Canis lupus familiaris: one gene and its partners. The protein of the gene in region 3 interacts with the protein of the main gene of each other region in a pairwise test. Links are inferred from orthologs where the notes say so. Each region holds a gene or a part of one and is shown on either strand. Other genes may lie near its edges.

Region 1 (7,491 bases), on a different chromosome or scaffold from region 3:
GCCAAGAGCTGGAAACAACCAAATACCCTACAAAGTGACTAGTCAAATAAAACAGTACATTCATATCATGGAATACTACTCAGCAGTAAAAAGAAATAAACTACTAAAACTCAGATCAACTTAGATGGATCTCAAGAGTACTGTGTCAAATGAAAAAAAATCCAATCTCAAAAGGTCACATACCATAGGAATCCTTTTATGTCACATTCTCAAAACGACAAAATCACAGACAGAGAAATTATTAGTGGCTGCCTAGGGTTAGGGATGGTGGGGAGAAGAGGTATGGGTGTGACTAGAAAGGAGAACAAGAGGAAGATATTTGTGGTGATGCAACAATTTTGTATCTTGATTATAGTGGTAGTTATAGGAATCTATACATATGGTAAAATGTCATGGAACTATATGTACTTTTATCAAGGCTAATTTCCTGGATTTGAGACAGGCACTAAAGGAGGGCACTTGATGGGATGAGTACTGGGTATTATACTGTATGTTGGCCAATTGAATTTAAATATCTTAACTTTTTTTTTCCTGGATTTGATATCGTACTATACTTACATTACGTAAGATGTAACCAATCGGGGAAACTAAGTAAAGGGTATATGGAACCTCTCTGTACTATCTTTGCAAATTCCTATAATTATTTTTAAATAAAATTTGAAGAAAAAAAGTATTAACTTAAGGTCTTTATACCACTTACTTAAATTATGCTCCTATCTGCTTTTTATGTTTAAGTATTACTTTTAGATATCTCTAAAGTAGATCAATACTCTTGTCTGCTAATTAATTGAAGTTTTGAGGATCTATGCTTGAATGTTGAAAAATATGTTTTATAGCAAGCAGGCTCTATAACTACATGACATTTCCAAACTGGAAGGGGTTCTAATCTTAGAGTTAATTAATTAAAATAAAAGGTGTTTGTAGATAACTAGTATTCAGTTTAAAAAAAAAAAACAAGAAGTAAGGCAGCCCGGGGGGGCTCAGTGGTTAAGCATCTGCCTTCAGCCCAGGGCATGATCCTGGAGACCCCGGATCGATCCCACATCGGGCTCCCTGCATGCAGCCTGCTTCTCCCTCTGCCTGTGTCTCTGCCTCTCTCCCTCTCCCCCTGCGTCTCAAATAAATAAATAAATAAATAAATAAATAAATAGTAAATAAAAAACAAGAAGTAGTGGTATAAATCTGGAAAATCATGCCACAATTATAGAAAAAAATTATCAATTATACAAGGGTAAAAGCACCCTCAGAGTACTCACACAGAGACACTAGTATGTCTTCCCTGCTCCTTCTACAGGCCAGTGGGACCTTATAACCTGACACCATGCCTGGCACACATGAGGAAGCCCTCAGTAAAAACTGCTAAGTAAATGAATGAATGACCTAAGAGCTGCCTTATTTTTGCCCACTGAGCCAAGAAATGCGGGTTTGCAGATCTTGCTATATTCCGAATATTTTTCCACAATAAATTTCTACTTGCAGAGGAAAAAAATTAATAGAAGTAGAATTTTTTTAAAGGAGAAACTGAATTAGTAATCAAACATACAGCACCTGAGTTACTACCAGGCTTTATAAAAATGGTATCTTAATCTGCCTCTTCCATTTCCTAAATCCTCTGCTCAGCATCTATTTATAAACTGCTCATGTCATAGATTATCCCTATTCTATCAGCAAAGACTTTGGGCCTAACTGGAGGCCACCCTTGTTCCCAATGTTGTTTTTTCTTTCCTCGGTCTTACACTTAGCCCTCTCCCAAATCCCTACCACATATATGCCTCCCCCTCCTCTCTCCAAAAGAGAGAGAAAGAAAGCATGAGAGAAAAACAGCATTAAGTGACCAGGGCCTTGCAAAATAGTAGCATAAACAAGCAAAACAAGTTTAATTTGGCACACAAATATTCAAATATGTGCTCACCATAAGGCATATTACCCATTCCTCAAATACACAATATAGAAAACAAAATTGAGTTATGTCATCCTTACTGAATTCATCTTCAGCCACAAGACTTGAGAACTGGTTACCCAAATTGTAGATCACTCAGGCTCCTTTGTTCCATGTTGCTTGGGGATAGTGGGTGGAGGTGCGTGGGTAGAGGTCAACTCTTTCATAGGAGCTAAGAAGAGCAGAGGCCTGAACTTGATAGCAACTCCTATGCAAGACACTGTGCTAGAACTTTTAAACTGATAATGTTATTTACTCCTTATAACTATCTATGAAGTAGGCATAATCTATACCAGACAGGTGGGGAAACTGTAGCTCCCAAGGCATAAGTGATATGGAGCCAGGGTTCAAACCCAAAGTTCCTTACTCAAAATATTCAAAAACCTATATAACCTTTTCATTACACTCTCCCTCTCTAAATCCAATCTGTGGGATTACAGCTATTTTATTTTCTCTTTCTCCTAGAGCATCACTACTCAACTAATCAGAGACCTGTTAATAGAACAGGGTTTAAGACCTGTTTAAGAACAGGGTTCTTAAAAAAGAACTCTTTTTACAACTGTTCATACTCCTCGTGTTACTTTTAGTAAGTAAGTCAGTTTTCCTCTCTGACCGTCAATCACCTTTCCGATGCAGCTGGTTTCTGAGGCTCCTTCTAAGAATAAAACTTTTCCATTGCAAGATGTCTTCTGTGTTGTGAACACAAACACTCAGAGCTCTAAGAACCATTGTCTAAAATGTATTTTCCAGAGCAAACACCGTTATATCGATTTAATTCTATATACCAGTATTAAACCACTTTCAATTATTTGCATTTTAATTTCACTAAAATTGCCTTTCTCGAGATGAATTCCTTTGTAAAACTTAACTAAGATTTACCTTATCCATCAGTCTGAGCTTTATTTTTTTGTTCTGACCATGTGACAAGTATCACCAATTACTTTTCGCCAACTGGGAATATTCTTTTGTGGCTCTGATTTCCAAAAACAAAACAAAACAAAACAGAAAAACAAAAAAAACTAATTTTCCCCGGAGTGCTTCATCCTTCTGGCTCTGGAGGTCCAGAGGTAAGCCTCTAATAGGCACAAATGTACATCTCACCTCCTCTATATACCTGATGTTCGGAAAACTGGTCCAGTGTGCCCAGGATTTGGTACCGCAAGCCGTAGAACTCCGGCATGCCAAGGAAAGTTTGCTATTAAAATTAAACAGTACTCTGACCGGGGCTTCGCGGACAATGAAGGAAACGATCGCCCCCTCTCATCTGGACACACCCCTTCTCCTCCCACTGGGAGCAGCGATCGGCGCGCAGCTGTCAGCTCGGGGTCCCTGCCGGCGCGCGCCTCCGCCGTCCCCGAGTCGGCAGACCCGCCGGGGGAAGCCAGGCGGACAGAGGACTCCGACGAGCCCCACGGAGCCAGGTGGGGCCAAGCCCGGCCCGAGGGAGGGGCGGGCCCGGCGCCGCCTCCACCTCCAGGCCCGCCCTGCGCCACACCCGACCCCGCCCGCTTTCGGCTAACGGGCCGCGGCGCCCGGCTCCACCCGCGAGCCCTCACCTCGCCCACGGCGGCCTCCGGGAGTCGGCGCCCGCGGGTCGCCCCGCCTCGCCGCAGTACCACCCGCCGCCGCCTCCGCAACCTCAGCCCACCGGGCGGACCCGGCCCAGGTCACTGGCGGCCCAGGCGCAGGTAGGCGGAGGTGCGCATGCGCAGGCCTTGAGTCTCCATTCGCTGCTGCTAAGCGACACCCGCACCCGGGCCGACCAATCCCGGAGCGCTCTCCCCGCCCGCTCCCCGCGCAGTCCCGACCCGGAGGCTTCTTAAAGGGCTGCGACCCGAAGGCGCCCGGGCTGTGGCCCCGGCGCGCGCGCCTCTCGGCTTGCGTCCCTTCTCGGGGCTCTCACCCGGGTGGGCTTGATGTCCAGGCCTGTAGTCCCCACGTCCGGAGGTGCCAGGAGACTTCTCCGTCTCCGTTCGGTTCCTGCCGGGGTAGAGTACACGACTGACGCGCCGAGGCAGGGAGGTTCCGCGGAACTGCGCGACACGCCCCGGCTGTGGGTTCCGCTGCCTGCGCGGCGGGGCGGGAAGCCCGAGATAGGCGAAACCAAAGAGCACAGCCTCCTGCCACCTCGGACGAGGTGCTGAAGTCCGACCCTGGAGGGACACACCTCAGTCTGGCGGGGGAGGCGCTCACAGATACCACAGATGCACGGCCCGCTGCAGGGAAGCTGAAGTCGTCCATTTAGTTTTCCTCCAACAAATTTTGAGCACCTGCTGTGTGTCAGACACTATGCCAGGCACTGGGGACACAGAAGGAACTCCTGACACTAAAAACTATGTTAAGAGAGGGCAGAGGGCAGCCCGGGTGGCGCAGCGGTTTAGCGCCGCCTTCAGCCCAGGGCCTGATCCTGGGGCCCCGGGATCGAGTCCCGCGTCGGGCTCCCTGCATGGAGCCTGCTTCTCCCTCTGCCTGTGTCTCTGCCTCTCTCTCTCTCTCTCTCTCTCTCTCTCTCTCTCTCTCTCTGTGTCTCATGAGTAAATAAATGAAATCTTAAAGAAAAGAGAGAGGGCAGAGTGAGAGCACCAATCGAACAATTCAACAGTTACACGTGTGTTTAAATACAAACCGAGACGCGTGCTCTTCAGAGAGGAACAAGGTTTCCTTTTTAAGATGTTTTTATTTTATTTATTCATGAGAGACACAGAGAGAGAGGCAGAGACACAGGCAGAGGGAGAAGCAGGCTTCCTCTGGGGAGCCTGATGGGGGACTCCATCCCAGGATCCTGGGATCACGACCTGAGCCAAAGGCAGATGCTTAACTACTGAGCCGCTCAGGCATCCCAGGAACAAGGCTTTTTAGAGAAATTACGGGAGCTTCCGGTCTGAACTTGGGAGTCGGAGGAGGCTTCTTTGAGAATGTGACACCAGCTGACTAGTAGCTAAGGAGGCAAAAAGGGATAGAAGACTGGTTCAGACAGAGGGTAGAGTATGTACAAAGAACAGGGAGGCAGCAAGGCTTCTTTGAGGGATGAAAAGAAACGGGGTAGTACATGAGAAGCTAGTGTTCAACAGGCACAGAATTTCAACTGGGAAGGAGAAAAAGTTCTGAAAATGAATAATGGTGATGGCTGCACAACAATGTATAATTTTAAACGTCACAGAATTGTACATTTAAAAATGGTTAAAACGGGGCAGGGGTGGAGGAGCGGGTGGCTGGGTGGCTCAGTTGATTAAATGTCTGCCTTCAGCTCAGATCATAATCCCCGGGTCCTAGGATGGAGCCCTGGGTTGGGCTCCCTTCCCAGGGGAGTCTGCTTTCCCTCACCCCTCCTTCCCATTCGTGCTCTCTCTTGCTCACTCTCTCAGATAAATAAATAAAATATTTTTAAAAATAAAAATAATATCTTTAATAAATAAATGGTTAAAATGGTAAATTTTATGTATATTTTACCACAAAGAAGAAAAAGACAAGAAAGATAAAAAAACTCAGAGTTTAGAGAGTAAGGAATATGGTGAGAGCCACTAGAGAGAATAGAAGAGCTAAGACCACCTATCTCCTATCTCTCTGATAGGAGAGCTGGGAAGCCAATGCAGCCATCTGGGCATGAGAGGATGAAGTTGGAGCTTGGACTTAGACCCGAGCGATGGTGAAGAGGGTGAGAACTAGGCAGTCTGCAGAGACATAGAGGAGAAAAATCAACAAGACTTGGTGATGATCTGGATGTGAAACGGTAACAAAGTAGCTTCAAGGACAATGCCACTGTTCAGCCTTGAGTGACTGGGTAGAAAGTGGAGGGATTCATGGATATAAAGAACGCTGGAAAAGGATCTGATTTTGGAGAGACGAATGATCACTAGTTCCATCTAAGACAAACTGAATTTGAGGCACCCTTTGACACTTCTGGTTGGGATGTCATTGTACACAGTCGAACATACAGGTTGGCATTCCATGTACAGGTCTGGGCTGGACATAGACTTTTGAAAATCATCACCAAATGGGCAGAAATTGAAGCAGACCTCACATAGAGAAAAATTACAAAATGAAAACAGAAGAGAGCTATGACAGAGTTGACCTCCAGGGATCGCCACTGAGTCAGGGTTGGCCTGTGTGACAAATGATCATGAGGCTAGATCATAAGAGACACAAAGGATAAAAACAATGAGATTTGATTGGTAAAGGAGATTGAAACCCCTTCATTGTATGTGCCAGGAAAGAGGCTAGGATTCCCTCTCAAGGTGCATTCACACGTGAATGGAGATGAGGTCTTCTCACCACGGTCATGAAAACAAGGCTCTGGCTTGGAATGAGGAAGGAAAAATTGGCACCAGACCTACAGCTTTTGAATATGGAGCCCCGGGTTCTCAGAATCTACAGTTTGAGTGCTTTATAATAGGGCTTTGTGCCTTCTGATTGGTGCAGCTCATGTGACTGGGGCACCAGAGTGGACTGGGCTAAAAGGTAAGATGTAGAATCTGAAGTCCTAGCCCTCCTCTCCATCACTGGTCATTTTGACTTTCCCAGGCTTCTTCATCCCTCCACTTCAGGATCACATCCTGAACTGCTTATCACCATAGAAGAGCTCCACGTTTGAAGTTGTAAATGCAGACACCTGATCTCTGTCCCTTGACTGTTCTCAGAAATCTGCCCACTGTTCTCTGGCCTGCAGAAGCCTCCACTCCACTTGTCCTTCTTACTTTGTTCAATGTATCACCTCTCCCCAATCTTTATTTCCTTCCCCATCAGCTGAAAGTCCAAGGTTTATCACTTCCATCACCTTTTTCCCAATATGCTTACCTCCATTCTGCAATTATTCTTCTGTCACACCTGCCTGGCAGGTCTCCAACTCTGGGGAAAAAAAATCCAACCTTCTGGGTTTCTCTAACTCTGTTCCTGAGCTATAAGTACTGCTGGAAAAAAAAAAAATCTTACAACCACACAGATCAGTGCTATGTATATGCATTGCCCACCTCCACCAGGTCCTCAACACTGTCCAGCAGTCCTATGTTTGCCTCTCTCCAATTCTCCAGAATACCAACCTCAAAATCTCCTGCATGCTTCCCCAATCTTCCACTCTTCAACATCCCCCTCACTTTCCCAGGTGCCTTTTTCACCAAGAAAAGAACAACCATTAAAGGGATAGCCCTCAGCTTGCACCAACTTCTGTCCCTCCCAACTACCACCTTTGTTCCCTTTTCCCCTTCACAGTCAAACTTCTCGGAAAGAGTGGCCTGCTCTAAAGATTCCATTTGCTTCACCTTTCCTGTATTTCACTGTCCCTGACAATTCTCACTGCTGCCTCGACATATCGCTGGAATTTCCTCCATTAAGGATATCAAAGACCTAGTCTCTACCTTGATTGACCTTTCCACAGCATTTGTAATTGCTGTTCTATCTTGCTTTCCTACTCACTCTTATTTCCCATATGACTGTCTCGCCTCTACCCCTCCACGCTCCCGGATTTCCTCTTATATCTCTAGTCTCCCCCCCCCCGCCCCCATTCTCCTTTGTAGTTTCTTTTCCTTGGCCAGGAGAGAAGCCAACTCACTCTCCTT
Region 2 (7,726 bases), on a different chromosome or scaffold from region 3:
TTTATTCATAGAGACACAGAGAGAGAGAGAGAGAGAGAGAGGCAGAGACACAGGCAGAGGGAGAAGCAGGCTCCATGCAGGGAACCTGATATGGGACTCCAACCCGGGTCTCCAGGATCACACCCTGAGCTGCAGGTGGTGCTAAACCGCTGCGCCACCGGGGCTGCCCTTATTCCTTATTTCTAAGAGAAATATGTAACTTGTGAAATTCTATAAGACAAATGATGTCTTTTAGCTCCCCTACTACTTGAAGAAGTTTATCACTTGAAAATAACTCAAGTGTTTCAGCCAATTCATTCAATTTTTATTTCAAAATCATATTGAAGCATGTCATGTTAATACAGCACATGGACATGGATATTTAGTTTGGGGATAATTATTTAAGCTAAACAGAACCAGCAGGAGACAGCAGACAGACTCAATCTTGCCTATTTCACCATAAATTGTAGAGAGAAAAGTACACTAGGTAGACAAAAAGTTCAAACAACTGAGAGAGTATTGTTCTTGGAAGCACTTAATCATCAGCAGCTGTAAGAACAGGAAACAAACAAGAAAGGAGCAATATAAGCACAACCACTTTGAAGGAAATCAGGACACCACTGACTCACAAGTTAACTGTGGCTGTTTCCCATTTTTTGTTCATAGATTTGGTAAATTAGAATGGAGGAAATTACACTTTAAGATGCTATTTGTTAAAATAACCAAATGCAACAAGAATAACTAGATTTCTCAACATACTGGTGGTACCGGGAGCACATGATTGCTTATGCCAGTTACCAGCAGAAGGCATACAGATAAATTCAAAACACCGGCTGACATCAGTGAGGTTAAAAATCAAGGAGAATGGATTACCTCCTGAGACAACTTCTGGAAGGGAGGTGTGGCAGTAAATTCAACCAAGATAAAGAAGGGGATTTCCCTATAAACTCAGCAATATAAGCAAAAATTAAATATTAAAATCACATTTACAACTGTCTGAATTATAAATTATAATCTTACATGCCACTTTACTATTATGTAGTTTAACAGTGCTGCTAGAATAGGTGCTAGTAACTACCATCTATGCTGAAATCAATTATAGTTGGCAGAAGGAAATGTCCAGGCAAGTCTTTTACTTCTGCATTTAAACAGAAGGGCTTCATTCTAAGTATTTGTGTTCACTTTTCCCTAGGAGGCTGGCAGCACTGGTAGTGTTACTGGAAAATACTTTAGACCAGTCTATATTTATGTTTACAAAGATCACCAAAACACCTCCAGAAAAATCTTATACGCTTGTCACTGCTTCCTTGAAAGCAGGGTCATACAAGTTTCTAAGACCGAAATGACAGTGAGATGTCACCTTACACCTGTCAGAATGGCCGTTCTTGAATAGACAAGAAATAGCAAGTGTTGGCAAGGATGTGCAGAAAAAGGAGTCCCTGTGCACTGTTGATAGGCATGTAAGTTGGTAAAGCCACTATGGAAAACAGTATGGAGGTTCCCCGAAAAATTAAAAGGAACTACCATTTGATCCAGCAATTTTGGGTATTTATCTGAAGGAAACAAAATCATTATCTCAATAAGGTATATGCAGCCCCATGTTCATAGCAGCATTATTTACAATCGCCAAGATATGGAGGCAACCTGTTTCCACCGATAAATGAATAGATTAAAAAATTGTGGTATACAGGGCAGCCCGGGTGGTTCAGTGGTTTAGCACCACCTTCAGCCCAGGGCCTGATCCTGGAGACCCGGGATCGAGTCCCACATCGGGCTCCCTGCATGGAGCCTGCTTTTCCCTCTGCCTCTCTGCCTCTCTCTCTCTCTCTCTCTCTCTCTCTGTGTCTCTCATGAATAAATAAATAAAATCTTAAAAAAAAAACTGTGGTATCCATATACAATGGAATATTATTCAACCATAAAAAGAATGAAATCTTGCCAGTTGGGACAACATGGATAGACCTTGGGGGCATTATGCTATGTAAAGTAAGTTAGAGAAAGACAAATACTATAAGGTCTCACTTACTTGTGGAATCTTAAAACACACACACACACACACACACACACACACACCAAGTTCAAAGATGTAAAGAACAGACTGGTGGATGCCAGACGGAAGAGGGGTTGGAGGAATGGGTGAAGGGGGTCAAACTTCCAGTTATAAAATAAATCCTAAGGATGTAATGTATAGCGTGTCGTGTTGATTATAGTTAATAATACTGTATTACAGGGGCGCCTGGGTAGCTCAGTGGTTGAGCATTAGCCTTGGGCTCAGGGTGTGATCCCAGAGTCCCAGGATCGAGTCCTGCATCAGGCTCCCCGCAGGGAGCCTGCTTCTCCCTCTGCCAGCTCTGTCTGGCCTTCCTTGTTTTAGATGCCTTCCTCCATCACAGCTCCTACTGGCGTTACTCCAAAGGCAAAGAAAAGAACCACTTTCCTTTTGGCATTTACTAACCACTTGTACATTCATCATCTGGTATGTTCCAATCAACAACTTTTGTGAGGTACGAAATATGGGTGTTATTTATCCCCGTTTTAGTTTACATATGAGGCAAATGACCCTACATTTTGGGTCCCAGATTAAATGCAGCCTGTTTCTAATACAGCACACTGTCTCCAGTTCACTGGCAACTTTATACAGCATAAGCCTGTAATGCCAGACTTGGTTACATTTAACTTCAAAGGTCCTCTAATGCTTAAAGACTACAACAGCACTGACTAATGACCACCTAGCTCAAGATCCATGTTTGCAGAAGTGGACCTGTCATACTTCCTGTATTAGCCCAACAATGTGAGGCGGCAATAGAGGAGATTATGAAAATAAGAATAGTCTAGAAGAAATGTAAAATGACGAGAACTAAGTAAAAGGTGTCCAAAGATCATCAAGATGATAGTATACAAGCTAACTAAACGGGGTAACTGAAGTTATCCATTTACAAGTTGCAGAAATTCTTATAAAATTTTAGAGAAGGAATATGTTTCGCTGAAAACGTAACTAGGCACTAAGATAAATAGAGATCCTAATTTAAAAAGGTGAGGAGGAGGGGGAAAAAAAAAGGCAACTGTAAAGTGCAATCACACACTTCACTCAACTAAACTCTAAGGCAGGCACTATGTCAACCAGGAGGAACTGGGCAAAAGCTGTGCTCTCCGAGGGCTCCCGCCAACTGGCAGACGAGGGAAGTTTCAAAGCAACGTTAACAGATCCGAACAGATTCCTGATTTAACTGGAGTTGATCTAGGAGATTTCCAGCTGCATGAGAGACGCCCAGGAAACGCAAACCATTAAGCAAAAGCTGATGTCTGAATCCACGCAGGAACTGGGCTTTTATACGTAGGAAGGCCCTCTAAAGCCCTCATTACCAAGGGCCGCTTCCGCGTCTATTCCCCGAGGGTACTGGGCACAGCAGACGTCCGAGTTTCTTTGTTCTGCACCGGGACTGACGCTGGTCTTAAATACGCGACCGAAGCGGCCCGGTCACCGCACCCAGACCAGGGGGTGTGCAGGGGGGCCCAGCGGGGGAGGGGGGGCAAGTCCCGCCCCGAACACAACAGCACAAACGGAAAAGGGGTGGCCGGGTGGCGGGTAAGCCTAGCTAAGGCAAACAGGAGCCGAGCCAAGGGCGGGGGCCTAAGCTGGGCGGGGATCCGGGAAGCGCGTCCCGGGCAAGCTCCCCGGCGGCCCCCTCCATCCGCAGCCCTCCGCGCCTCCCCTCTCGGGCTGTCCGGGGGGCACGCACCCCTCAGACGTCCGCCGCAGGCCTGCTCTCAGCCCAGCCCCGCCGTGCCCAGCCTTCCCGGGCCGCACTCACCCCGGAGGAAGCCTTGGCCCCCTCGTCTTCCTCGCCCCTCCAGGCCGGCGACGTGGGGCTGACGGCCAGGGCGCAGGAGGGAGCGCCGAGAGGAGCCCGCTCCCCTCGGACTGCAGCGGAGACCCGGGCCCAGTGCCCTGGCTACAGCCGCAGCGACAGCAGCTGACCCGGACGCAGACAGCCGCCGGGGCGGAAGTGACGGAATCCCGACCTCCTTCGGGCGCGGGGGCCGGCGGAGACGGAGGCGGGGCGTCTTTGGCCCTTGCCCCGCCCCCTCGGCCGCGCGGACTGACGCATGCGCATTCCGCCCGGGCTGGCCGCGCCTCCTCTCCTCCCGCTGAGACCCGGTCCTCGACTCTCAAAGGGACGTTTCTACATCCCTTCTGTGGGCTTTATTGATCCTTAGAATAATTTTATAGCATAGAATGGGTGAAAGTAGGGGAGGAAGAATCGCCATAAAGGTGCTGTAAGATCACCGTCACGCCTTCCAGACGCTGTTTCTGTTCCCGTCCGGCCGTGCACAGGTGGCGGAAGGGCCCAGCTCTGCGGACCCATCGCACCTGGCGCAGCGGCGCAGGTGTGCAGAGGGGCCTCAGATCCGCATCCGCCAAGTCCCCACGAGGGCGCAGGCGTCCGCCGATGGGACGGTGCATTTGGGAATGGGAAGAGGGAGCTTGGGGGCGACCGAAAAATGTCCATCACTGACCCGAAATGCGGCTCCCAGGTTTACGGGGTTTTGGCAACATGCACCCGTTCTGTCTCATCTCTGAAAACAGGGAAAAATAATACCTACTTCCTAGGGCTTTTGTGAGATAAAGTGCTGTTTATTAGACATACGACGACATACTATCATCATATACGTGTTTGATAATATTTTCCTCCAAGCAGTTTTGTGAAGTTAGCTGGCGGAGCAAACAAGACGGATCAGCTGATAAGCAGAGCCTTAGCTGAACAATTTCTTGGATCGTGCTTACGTCAGCGATTTTATCTTAAGTTTCAGATTTTTTTTCCCCCCCCGTAGTTTCCTATTTTGCTTTTTTCAGTCCTGCAATGAGGAGCATTCCTCACAAGGTGGCAGCAAGTCATTTGAAATTATATACAGTTATGTGGGGTTGGGTTTTTTGTTTTTTTTTTGTTTTTTTTTTTTTTTTTTTGCCATCTTTCTTTTTCATTTCTATGACTTGATTGTTCAGTTAGTTTGGTCGGTGTTTGCTTTGGTTTTGAATAGTCCATTCTACAATTTATCTTCTTATCCTCATCTCATGAATTAGCTATACTTATTGTTGAAACATTGGAAACTATAGAGAAGGTATACATTTAGGTATATCCTTTCAGATTTTTGTATATATATAACTATATAAATAGCACATATGTTTCTATAAAAATGAAATAAGTACCTAGTAGTCAGGTCTTGATCTCAGGGTCATGAATTCAAGTCCTGCATTGGGCTGTATGCTGGGGAGCCTACTTAAAATAAATAAAATAAGACAAGATAAAATTAAATAAAATATAAAAAATAAAAATACATACTGAACTCCTCAATGCCATCATTTTTATTATGGATAAATTTGTATTAACAATTCTTTATTGAACAAATTTAGTTGCTCCATTTTTTTAATGGTTGAAAACCACACTTTATAGAATGTCCAAAAAAGTTCAAGACATAAGACTAACTGATTTTTCAAACAACACACTAGGTATATTTTCAAATAATATGCTCAATATATATTTTTTCAGCTTTTAGGTGAAATGCCTGTAAGCCATGGGTCAAATTGTTAGCCTGAAAAAAGTATAATAAAAACACAGTTTTCGGGATGCCTGGGTGGCTCAGCGGTTGAGCATCTGTCTTGGGCTCAGGTTATAATCTATGTGTCTCCTTGAATAGGCAGATACTTGGAATATTAAAATTGGAAAATAATTTAGAAGAAAAAAAGTGTGGCTTTAGAACATATCATCTAGGGATCCCTGGGTGGCTCAGCGGTTTGACACCTGCCTTTGGCCCAGGGCGCAATCCTGGAGTCCTGGGATTGAGTCCCGTGTCGGGCTCCCGGCATGGAGCCTGCAAAGAAATGGAGCAAAACAATTTGGTGAATTGAGGTGACGTTGGTACTTCCAAAGTGCAGCTAAATAGGAGCTAAACAGATGGCGGGGGAGGGGTGGGAGTTGGGGCCAGTCAAGGAAGACTTTCGGAAGGGGGTCATCTCGAGCTTAGTAATAAAAGGAGGATCTTCCAAACTGAGGGAATGGCTTATGCAAATGTGCAGAGACTTCAAGAAACTGCCCCTTTTTCTTCATGACTGGAGCCAGATAAAAGGGGGAGCTTTTTTTTTTAGTGCTAAGGGTTTATTCAGAGCCAATATGATGAACAACATGGAAAAGCAACCAATTATTATGTTCCTCACAATAACAGCATTATTAGTATAAGTTCTGAGAGAACCACTTTGAAAGAGGCACCCCTCTTTTGAGTATATATTTTAGTATGTGTATTAATTCATTCACATTACTTTGCCATACTTCATACATCAAAACAAAAGCACTTAGCCAAAATAGAGAGTGTTGAGTCTTTATTTCCTCATCTCTACTGCCTCCTTGGATCCGAGAGATAGGATGAGAGATGATGAAGAAGGTATACCAGACAACACTAAGAAAATGCTTGTGTAAATTCAAATTTTAGAAGGCAGAATGTATATTAAATAAAACTCTTGAATAATGCTGCACTCCCCACTGTATAATTTTATAGACAGATTGTTCTTCTGGCTTACGAGCAAATAAATTCAGTGATGTTGGGCAGCTCACTCATAGTTTTTGAAAAAAATGTGAAATATCCTTTTTACATGGGCTGAATGTCTTTGCTAGTTGAGCTTGAGGGTAAAACTGGATACAATTATATATTCATTTAATTATTCATAACTTGAGTCTGAAATGTATGTATATATATTTTTCACTTATTCACTTTATAAAATTCTAAACTAAACCCAGCAGCAGTTTTATCTTTAGCATGGTGACAAGTTTCTTGTCGACAATGAACCAGTAAAAGAAATTATTCCAGAGAGAATTTGTGCTTCCCTATTTCAAAAAATCAAATTGGATTGCACACATATATTACACATCACTGTTACAAGATGCTTCCACATTTCACAGAGCACAGAGACGGAAGCAGCAGCACACATTTTTAAGAAATATTTCCATATGCAAAATTAGATTATGGCCATTCAAGAGGAAAACTAGGCTAATTTGCCAGAGAATTTTAGTCCATGGGACTTTAAGTATTCATCTCATTCAGGGAAATAGGTTATGGTTGAAGTCATGTGAGAGAAAGAGCTCAGATCTGGAGTGAGCCGTGTTTGTTGAAGATGAGAGAGGATGTGTAATACATTGAATGAAATACATTCAACATAAATTTAAAAAGTCTAGAGTTACCTTAGATTACTCACTAAAACTAATAATCTTTGAGTCCATATTCAAGTCCTCTGTGAAGCTATTTCTGCAATGTCACAAAAGAAATAACAAATATGAGTTTAGAAATATCTGAGGGCATATTTTATAATATAAAAAAATAAAATTTGGCCATATCAGAGCAACAATAAATTGGAGATCATGGCTGAGATTTGGAAAGAAGATGGACAGAATTCATCTACTCTGAAAGGGTCATTACGAAAAACCACTCCCCTTATTAATTAATGCTTTTGCAAAAGTACTGAGAGATAGTATCCCATGCTTGATTTATTACTGAGTAAAGGCTAATTTTTAAAGAAGGAAGTAGATTTTTCTCTCAGAATGACATCGATATTTAGAAACATACAAATAAGTGATAGCCTCCATTAGAGAAGTTTGATTGATTGATTGACAATGACGATGATGATTTTTTCCAGTGATAGTGCTTTTTAAATTCTTTCTGAGCTGGGTAAATAAAAATGAGAATATAGTAAGGCAAA
Region 3 (7,718 bases):
ACACACAGTAAGTGTTGGAGCTCAGGATAGAACTCTGGCCACTGGGAGACTCTGAGTCTCTGAGTCTCTGAGTGAGCACATCTCTGAGTCCCTGAGTGAGCACAGCCATCTCAGCAGCTGTCATTTTTATCCGTATCTGGAGTGGATGTGTCTGGCCCACAGCTCTGGGGCTAGGGTATGTCATGCCTTGAGGAACTAGTGTGGGCTAGAGGAACAGAATGTGCCAGACCCACCTGGGTTCAAATCTCAGCTCTGGGCTTCCAATGCAAGAAGAAAAATGTCACAAGCTATTTGGTTTCACACATGCCACATGTCATTCTCTAAGCCCTAACCAACATCAAACCATTAAATCCTCATCACAACCCCTCAAAATAGGTATCACTATCATCTCATTTTGAAAGATTGGAAAACTGAGACACAGAGAGGTCATGTTACTTGTCCAAGTCACACAACAGGTAAGTCGCAGAGCAGTCATTTAAAGCCAGGAATGGGGGCAGCCAGGGTGGCTCAAAGGTTTAGCACCACTGCCATCAGCCCAGGGTGTGATCCTGGAGACCCGGGATTGAGTCCCACGTCAGGCTCTCTGCATGGAGCCAGCTTCTGCCTGTATCTCTGCCTCTCTCTCTCTCTGTCTCTCATGAATAGAAAAATAAAATCTTTTAAAAATAAAATAAAATAAATAAAGCCAGGAATGGTTGTGAATTTAGAATTATATGCATAATAATATATAAGAATTTTATAGCTAGCACTTTGATGGAGATTAAGAAAATCTATGAACTTCATTAACTCCTAGCTTCTGCCTACTACTTCAAATAGTGTTATTTTTATTTTCATTTACTCTTCAAGGCACACTACTTCCTCAACACCCAAATCAGCAAAACACTATCATGAAATTTTGGCCTTTCATGCTGTGATTCTGTCAAAGGTGGTGGTAGTTCCATTTGGGGGGAGGTGCTCAAAAGTCAATGATAAATAGAATTGGTAAATTTCTTATTTCTAAATGTCTAATTTCTAAATTCAATATATTTAGTATATAATACATATCAGTATATCAGCTGTTTCTTTTTAAAGTATTCCTGTGGTCCTAAAAGGTAACTGTAATTAATCCAGATATTATATCTCCCCACTGCCCCCCCTCATCCCATTCTGCCTCAATCTCATGGGCATGGGTGGCTTGCTGGAGCCTGACCTGCTGGAGCAACCTGATTTGACTTCTGCCATTGGAGACTAAACCAATTCAGTATTTCTAGCTTATTTCCATTCCCAAGAGGTCTCTGGGAGCTCTTTTTCTCTTTATTCATTGGCAGTGGAATCACTTAGGCATTTATCATATCTCATTCCCTAGAACAGCCAGGCCTCCGGAATCTCCAATCTTATTGACTTTCCCCACTAGCTTCTGCAACAGTGTAACAACCATGGTGACTCTGGCTAACAGAATCTGCTACAGAACTACCTGACTCAACTGATTCCCTAGAATAGTCGAGTCATCCTTCCTCCAACATGGCTACCTTTTCCCAGTAATCTTTGCAACAATATGGCTGCCATTTTTTTTCTAGAACATTCCCTCACCCAGAGTGAATGTAGCTTAAAGGATTAGCTACAGAACAATGAGACTCAGATGATTTCCAAGAACACTGGGTTTCCCTTCCTCTGCAACCGAGTTGCCTTTTCCCAGTAACATTTGCAACAGTATAACAACCATTTTTCTAAAGCTTTCCCTCCCTCACAGTGAAAGTGTGGAACAGATTGGATACAGAACTTGAAACTCAGATGACTCCCTTCAACAGTCAGGTCCCTCTCCTCTCCAACTGGGTTCTCTTTTTCCAGCAACTTTTGCAACAGTATAGCAACCATGTTTCCAAAGCTTCTTCTCACTTAGCAGTGAATGTAACCTAAAGGATTGGCTACACAGTGAGAGATCTCACGGGATTCCCTAGAACACTCAGGTCTCCCTCCTCTCCAAAATGACCACCTTTTCCCAGTATCCTTTGTAACAGTGTACCTGCCAGTTTTCCAGAGCTTTTCTTAACCCACATTAAAGGTACTTTAAAGGATTGGCTACATAATGGTCAGATTCAATTGATTGGATTTCCTAACAGCCAGGGAACATAGGAACCTAACTTGTCTTAATCTTTTTCCAGACTTGAGAATCATATTGTTTTATGTATGTATATTTCTATTTAATAGCGTAGATGAGGTCCATCTACAGTATCAAGGATTACTAATGTCTTTTACTTAAAGTCCACAGAGTGTAGATGCTAACTAAAATTCCAAAATGATGGGGATCCCTGGGTGGCTCAGCGGTTTAGTGCCTGCCTTTGGCCCAGGGCGCGATCCTGGAGTTCCGGGATCAAGTCCGGCGTCGGGCTCCCGGTGCATGGAGCTGCTTCTCCCTCCTCCTGTGTCTCTGCCTCTCTCTTTCTCTCTCTATCATAAATAAATAAATAAATCTTTAAAAAAATAAAAATAAAAATAAAATAAAATAAATTCCAAAATGCCTTCATGGCAACACCTAGACTAGTGTTTGATGGAATAACTGGGAACTACAGGCTACCCAACAAACAGGTAAACTTGACCCTCATAGTGATCTAATCATTAGGGAAGCTGAGGGAGAATTTGGACTTAGACCAGAGACTGTAGGACCTGTATGGGGACAGTGGGGCCTCCAATGGCTACAGACAGATTCTTTCTTTCCTATCCTTCCTTCCTTTTATTCATCAATGATTCTCATGATTCCAGGCTGATTATTTAGTTGATAATTAAATAATTTATATAGTTATAATTTATATAGATAATATAGATAATATAGATATGGAAGGAAATATACATATAGAATTATTTATTTATAAAGGAAAGTGTCATTTCACACACAATAGAGTTTTGCAAAATAAAGTGTATATGTAGTCCCCAAGGAATATGTGAATCCGGTGTTCTGGAAACCCAAGGTTGAGCTCCCAGCCTACCAAAGGATGGCCCTGACCTCTCAAAGGACATCCCTGCCTTCATTGCCTCACTGGTACACAAAAGCTTTTTCCTTTGGCCCCAAGTCAACATCTGGCTCTGCTCAACCTACCGTCATGAAGCTGGAGCCCCTTTAGTCTGTTGTCCCAACCCCAGCCTAGCCACTGCATGCCAAGGACTCCATACAGTACCGCTTTCTTGCTCCGGTTGCCAGTCATATTCCAACCCGATTGACCTGCAGCAGAGCCAGCAGCCTTTGGATCCGCCTTCTGTCGCCGCTGAGAAGCACCCACAGACTGGGATCCATGCTCCATCATTTCTAGGCAAAAGAAGAGAGGCCCCAGAAACACCCATAGAGGCTATACCAAGGCTTCCTGGACACAGGACACACCAGAAAGAGGATAAGGTACCCAAACTTCTTAGGAGTCATTCAATATTCATTCACTGTTGTCCCCTGGCAGATCCCAAGCCTCAGTCTGTTCATTTGTTTAAAAGTTTAGTAAGTATTTCTTGAGGGCCAAACTCTGGGCTAGGTTACTGGAGGGAGAGCAATGACCAAGACACAAGATCTCAGCAATCTAGTAATCAACTGTCTATGTGTGCTTAGCTGAAGTGAGGGGTGCAAAATGGGTATAATCTATCAGTGTTAACTCAGATCAAGAGATACATGCTCCCAAAATGATAAGAACAGGGCAACATGGTGGAAGGAAGGGCTACTTCTAGAAAAGCCAGAAACACCTGTGAGGCAGAGACCTGAAAGACAAAAATGATGGCAGCCATGGAAAATCTAGGAAAACAGCATCCCAGGCAGAGGTAGCAGTCAACACAAAGGCTATCAGGAAGAATCAGCCTTCGGGTCTTATGAGGACAAGTATAAATGCAGTGTGCTGTGGGTCATCATACCACAGCATGAAATATATTGAGGAGGTGGCATTGGCTGGCTCTTGTAGATCAAGGAAAGGAGTTTGGATTTTACTCTAAAGGAGGAAAAGGCATTAAAAAGGAGAGAGAATTGGTCTGAATGATCTTATAAATTGAGCGCTCTGGATACTTTGCCATAAACACAGTGGTAGCTTGGACAGGGGGAGATAAGGACCACACATGTGGATCCCATCCTACTCTCTCACAGGCTTCAAAATGCTCACATCATCAATACCTTTCCCCCCCAGCTTCCTGTTCATCAAGGCACAAATACAGGTATACGCACACCAAGGCACAGACACACACATAGCCACACATACTTGCATATATATGACTCTTCCCAGCCATGAACACACCTTCTCCAACACATGTGACTGGGTGCAGACACCCAAAGGAAAGGGACATTACAGGGGCTCCTCACCTGCTATCACCAGGTGCTCCTGGCTTTTCCCATAGTTTCCAGGAACCAGCTCTTCAGCGATGGATGTTTCCATCTCCTCCTTGATAGTAGGGGGGCCTCCTGCCATCACAGCTAGCGCTTAGCTATTAAGCTATAGCCAGGATACACAGGAAGCCGGGCACAGAGCAGACTCTTGGAAAGTCTGCTCTTCCAGGGGCAGGAGCTCGAGGAAGATATATCTGGCCATGGGGGTGGAGCCACACTCTCCCACAGGACTCAGGCCTTGGACCCAGCACCTTGTGTTCCTGTTGTATCTTATTGGCTTGGTTCACAGTCTTCTCCCCTGCTACTCTGTAAGCAACTTAGGAGGAGGAGTTTCTGATACTTATCTCAGAAACTTTGCCTGTGAGAACTACCCTGGCTCTCGGGTCACATGATTTGGCCCCATTGAGGGGCCAGTGGGATCTACTCTCCATCATTTCTAAAGAGAGGTAGATACTGGCACAGGACCCCAAAGCCAGTCAGTAGCCAGAACAGGGTTAGATCCCAAACTTGTTGTGGCTTCTGCAAGCCCAGCTCTGGCAAGTATTTCAGGCCACAGCTCCCCTCAGGAGGCATCCTCTACAGAGCACATCTTGTTTCCCCCCAATGTAGAGTTCCCAGGGGAGATGGCCTTTTAATGCCTTGGGTCAGTCTGAGCAGGAACCATGAGAATCTAAGGAGGGAAGGGCAGGAAAGAAGGGATCTACCTGTAGCCACTGGAGGGCCCACTGTCCCCAGGCAGGCCCTGCAGTCCCTGGTCTAAGTCCAAATTCTCTCTCAGCTTCCCTAATGATTAGACCACTGTGAGGGTCAAGTTTATCTGTTCGTTGGGTAGCCTATAGTTCCCAGTTATTCCATCAAACACTAGTCTAGGTGTTGCTATGAAGTTATTTTGGAGCTTTGGTTGACATTTGCACTCTGTGGACTTTAAGTAAAAGACATTACTAATCCTTGATAATGTGGATAGGCCTCATTTAATGAGTTGAAAGGCCTGAAGAGCAAAGACTGAGGTTTTCCAGCGAAGAAGAAATTTTGCTCAAGAATGCAACATCGGGAAACAAAAGCAAACAAAAACTCCTGGGACTAAATCAGAATACAAAGCTTTGGCACAGTAAAGGAACCTGTCAACAAAACAGAAAGGCAACCTAGTGAATGGGAAAAGATATGGGCAAATGATGTATCTGAGAAGGGGTTAAAATGCAAAATATATAAAGAACTGATACAACTGTCAGCACTAGAAAAACAAAAAAATCCAATTTAAGAAGGGGCAGAGGACCTGAATAGACTTATTTCCAAAGAAGACATACAGATGGCCAACAGACATGTGAAAAGATGCTCAGCATCACTCATCATCAGGGAAATGCAAATCAAAACCACCATGAGGTATCACCTCACCCCTGTGAGAATGGCTAAAATCAACAATACAAGAAACAAGTGTTGGTGAGGACATGGAAAAAAAAAGGAACCCTCACGCACGGTTGGTGGGAATGCAAATTGGTGCAGCCACTATGGAAAATAGAATTGAGTTTCCTCAAAAAATTAAAAATAGAAATACTGTATGAAACAATAATCCCACTACTGGGTATTTACCTAAAGAAAATGAAACAAAGGGCAGCCCCGGTGGCTCAACGGTTTAGCGCCACCTTCAGCCCAGGGTGTGATCCTGGAGACCGGATCGAGTCCCATGTCGGGCTCCCTGCATGGAGCCTGCTTCTCCCTCTGCCTGTGTCTCTGCCTCTCTCTCTCTCTCTCTCTCTCTCTCTCTCTGCCTCTCGTGAGTAAATAAATACATTTAAAAAAATCTTAAAAAAAGAAAATGAAACAAAACAACAATAAAAAAAGAAAATGAAAACACTAATGTGAAAAGACATATGCACCCCTATTTTTATGGCAGCATTATTTACAACAGCCCAGATACAGAGTGACCTAAGTGTCCATCAATAAGAATATTGGATATCGAATGAGGAAGACATGACATATACACATACAGTGGAATATTGTGCAAACATTAAAAAAGATGAAATCACGCTGTTTGTGACAATGTAGATGGACCTAGTGGGTATTATGCTAAGTGAAATAAGTCAGACAGAGAAAGACAAATACCATATGATTCCACTCATATGTGGAGTCGAAAACAACAAACAAAAAGCACATTCAGACCTATAAATACAAAGAACAAACTGCTGATTTCCAGAGACGAGGGGGGTAGGGGATGGGCAAAATAGGTCCAGGGGAGTGGGAGATATGGAAGGAATAAATCATGGGAGTAAAAAGCACGGCAGGAACACCAGGAACACGGAGTCAGTGATATTAAAATAACATTGTATGGTGACGGGTGTCAGCTACAATTGTACTGAGCATAGCATAATGTACAAACTTGTTGAATCACTATATTGTACACCTGAAACTAATGTAACATTGTATGTGGACTATGCTCAAACTTTAAAAAAAAAAAAACAATTTTTTTTAAAGACTGCAGCATCTCTCCCTGCCTCAGATTCCAATGTGCAGGCCTGCCCTGCAGATTTTGCCCTTGCAAGCCCCATAATGGCAGGAGCCAATTCCTCAAAATAAATCTCTGTATACACACACATAGGCATTTGCACATACATACATGTACTGACATAAGTCCTACTGGTTTCTTTTCTCTAGAGAACCCTGACTGATACAATCACCAGAGGTGAACCCTGGGCTCTAGGGAATAGCTCCAGAGTCCCTGGGGGGAAGAGGAGGTGATTTGCAAAAGGAACCAAGCCCAGCTGGGGCCAGGAAGAGGAGGGAAGAAGAGGAGGAAGCAGGGAAGGAGGAGGGAGGAAGGAAAGTGTGAGAGAGAAAAGGAAGGGCTGCAACTTGCCTAGAGAGGGTGACATGGTCTGGACTGCCTGGCCCCCTCCCTGGCCCCACCTGTCCAGCACTGGGACTAATCTGGAGCCCAGCAGACCCAGGCCCTGCCTGCATTCCTGAAGGCCCTGAGGAAGCCCTTCCCAGATCCAGTGGAGCAGCTGCAATGAAATCCGAGCTTTCTGGAAGGCCACCTTAAGAGTGGAGAAGTGTGCTTTGGGGGGACCCAGGAGCCTGGGAAGCAGGAACCATAGGCTTCTGCTGGCCAGGGCTGCCAGACTGAGCAAATACAAATACAAACCGCCAACTAAATTTGAATTTCAGATAAAGGACAAGTAAGTTTCTTTTTTTTTTAAAGATTGTACTTATTTATTCATGAGAGACACAGAGACAGAGAGGCAGAGACACAGGCAGAGGGTGAAGCAGGCTCCCTGCAGAGGGGCCCCAGATGCGGGACTCAATCCCAGGACCCCAGGATCACGCTCTGGGCCAAAGGCAGGTGCTCAACCACTGAGCCACCCACGGGTCCCAGGACAAGTAAGTTCCTAGTGTG

What was found. The genes of interacting proteins can lie anywhere in the genome.
Region 1: the proteins of FATE1 (region 3) and SEC22C interact in binary tests that used the Homo sapiens proteins (3 or more experiments, as listed by UniProt). The two-hybrid records come from large-scale screens. The link is inferred for Canis lupus familiaris from reciprocal best matches to the Homo sapiens genes FATE1 and SEC22C.
Region 2: the proteins of FATE1 (region 3) and BNIP2 interact in binary tests that used the Homo sapiens proteins (3 or more experiments, as listed by UniProt). The two-hybrid records come from large-scale screens. The link is inferred for Canis lupus familiaris from reciprocal best matches to the Homo sapiens genes FATE1 and BNIP2.

The regions. Positions count from the first base shown.
Region 1 is NC_049244.1:11,941,695-11,949,185, forward strand, and holds the start of SEC22C (vesicle-trafficking protein SEC22c), read right to left. Parts: upstream 3,991-7,491; 5' UTR 3,843-3,990; intron 3,632-3,842; exon of another isoform or gene 3,496-3,631; intron 3,324-3,495; exon of another isoform or gene 3,041-3,323; intron 1-3,040. UniProt on the Homo sapiens protein: May be involved in vesicle transport between the ER and the Golgi complex.
Region 2 is NC_049251.1:24,906,844-24,914,569, forward strand, and holds the start of BNIP2 (BCL2/adenovirus E1B 19 kDa protein-interacting protein 2), read right to left. Parts: upstream 3,991-7,726; 5' UTR 3,792-3,990; intron 1-3,791.
Region 3 is NC_049260.1:120,978,390-120,986,107, reverse strand, and holds the start of FATE1 (fetal and adult testis-expressed transcript protein), read right to left. Parts: upstream 4,505-7,718; 5' UTR 4,410-4,504; coding exon 4,304-4,409; intron 3,281-4,303; coding exon 3,153-3,280; intron 1-3,152. UniProt on the Homo sapiens protein: Involved in the regulation of endoplasmic reticulum (ER)-mitochondria coupling. Negatively regulates the ER-mitochondria distance and Ca(2+) transfer from ER to mitochondria possibly implicating it in the regulation of apoptosis.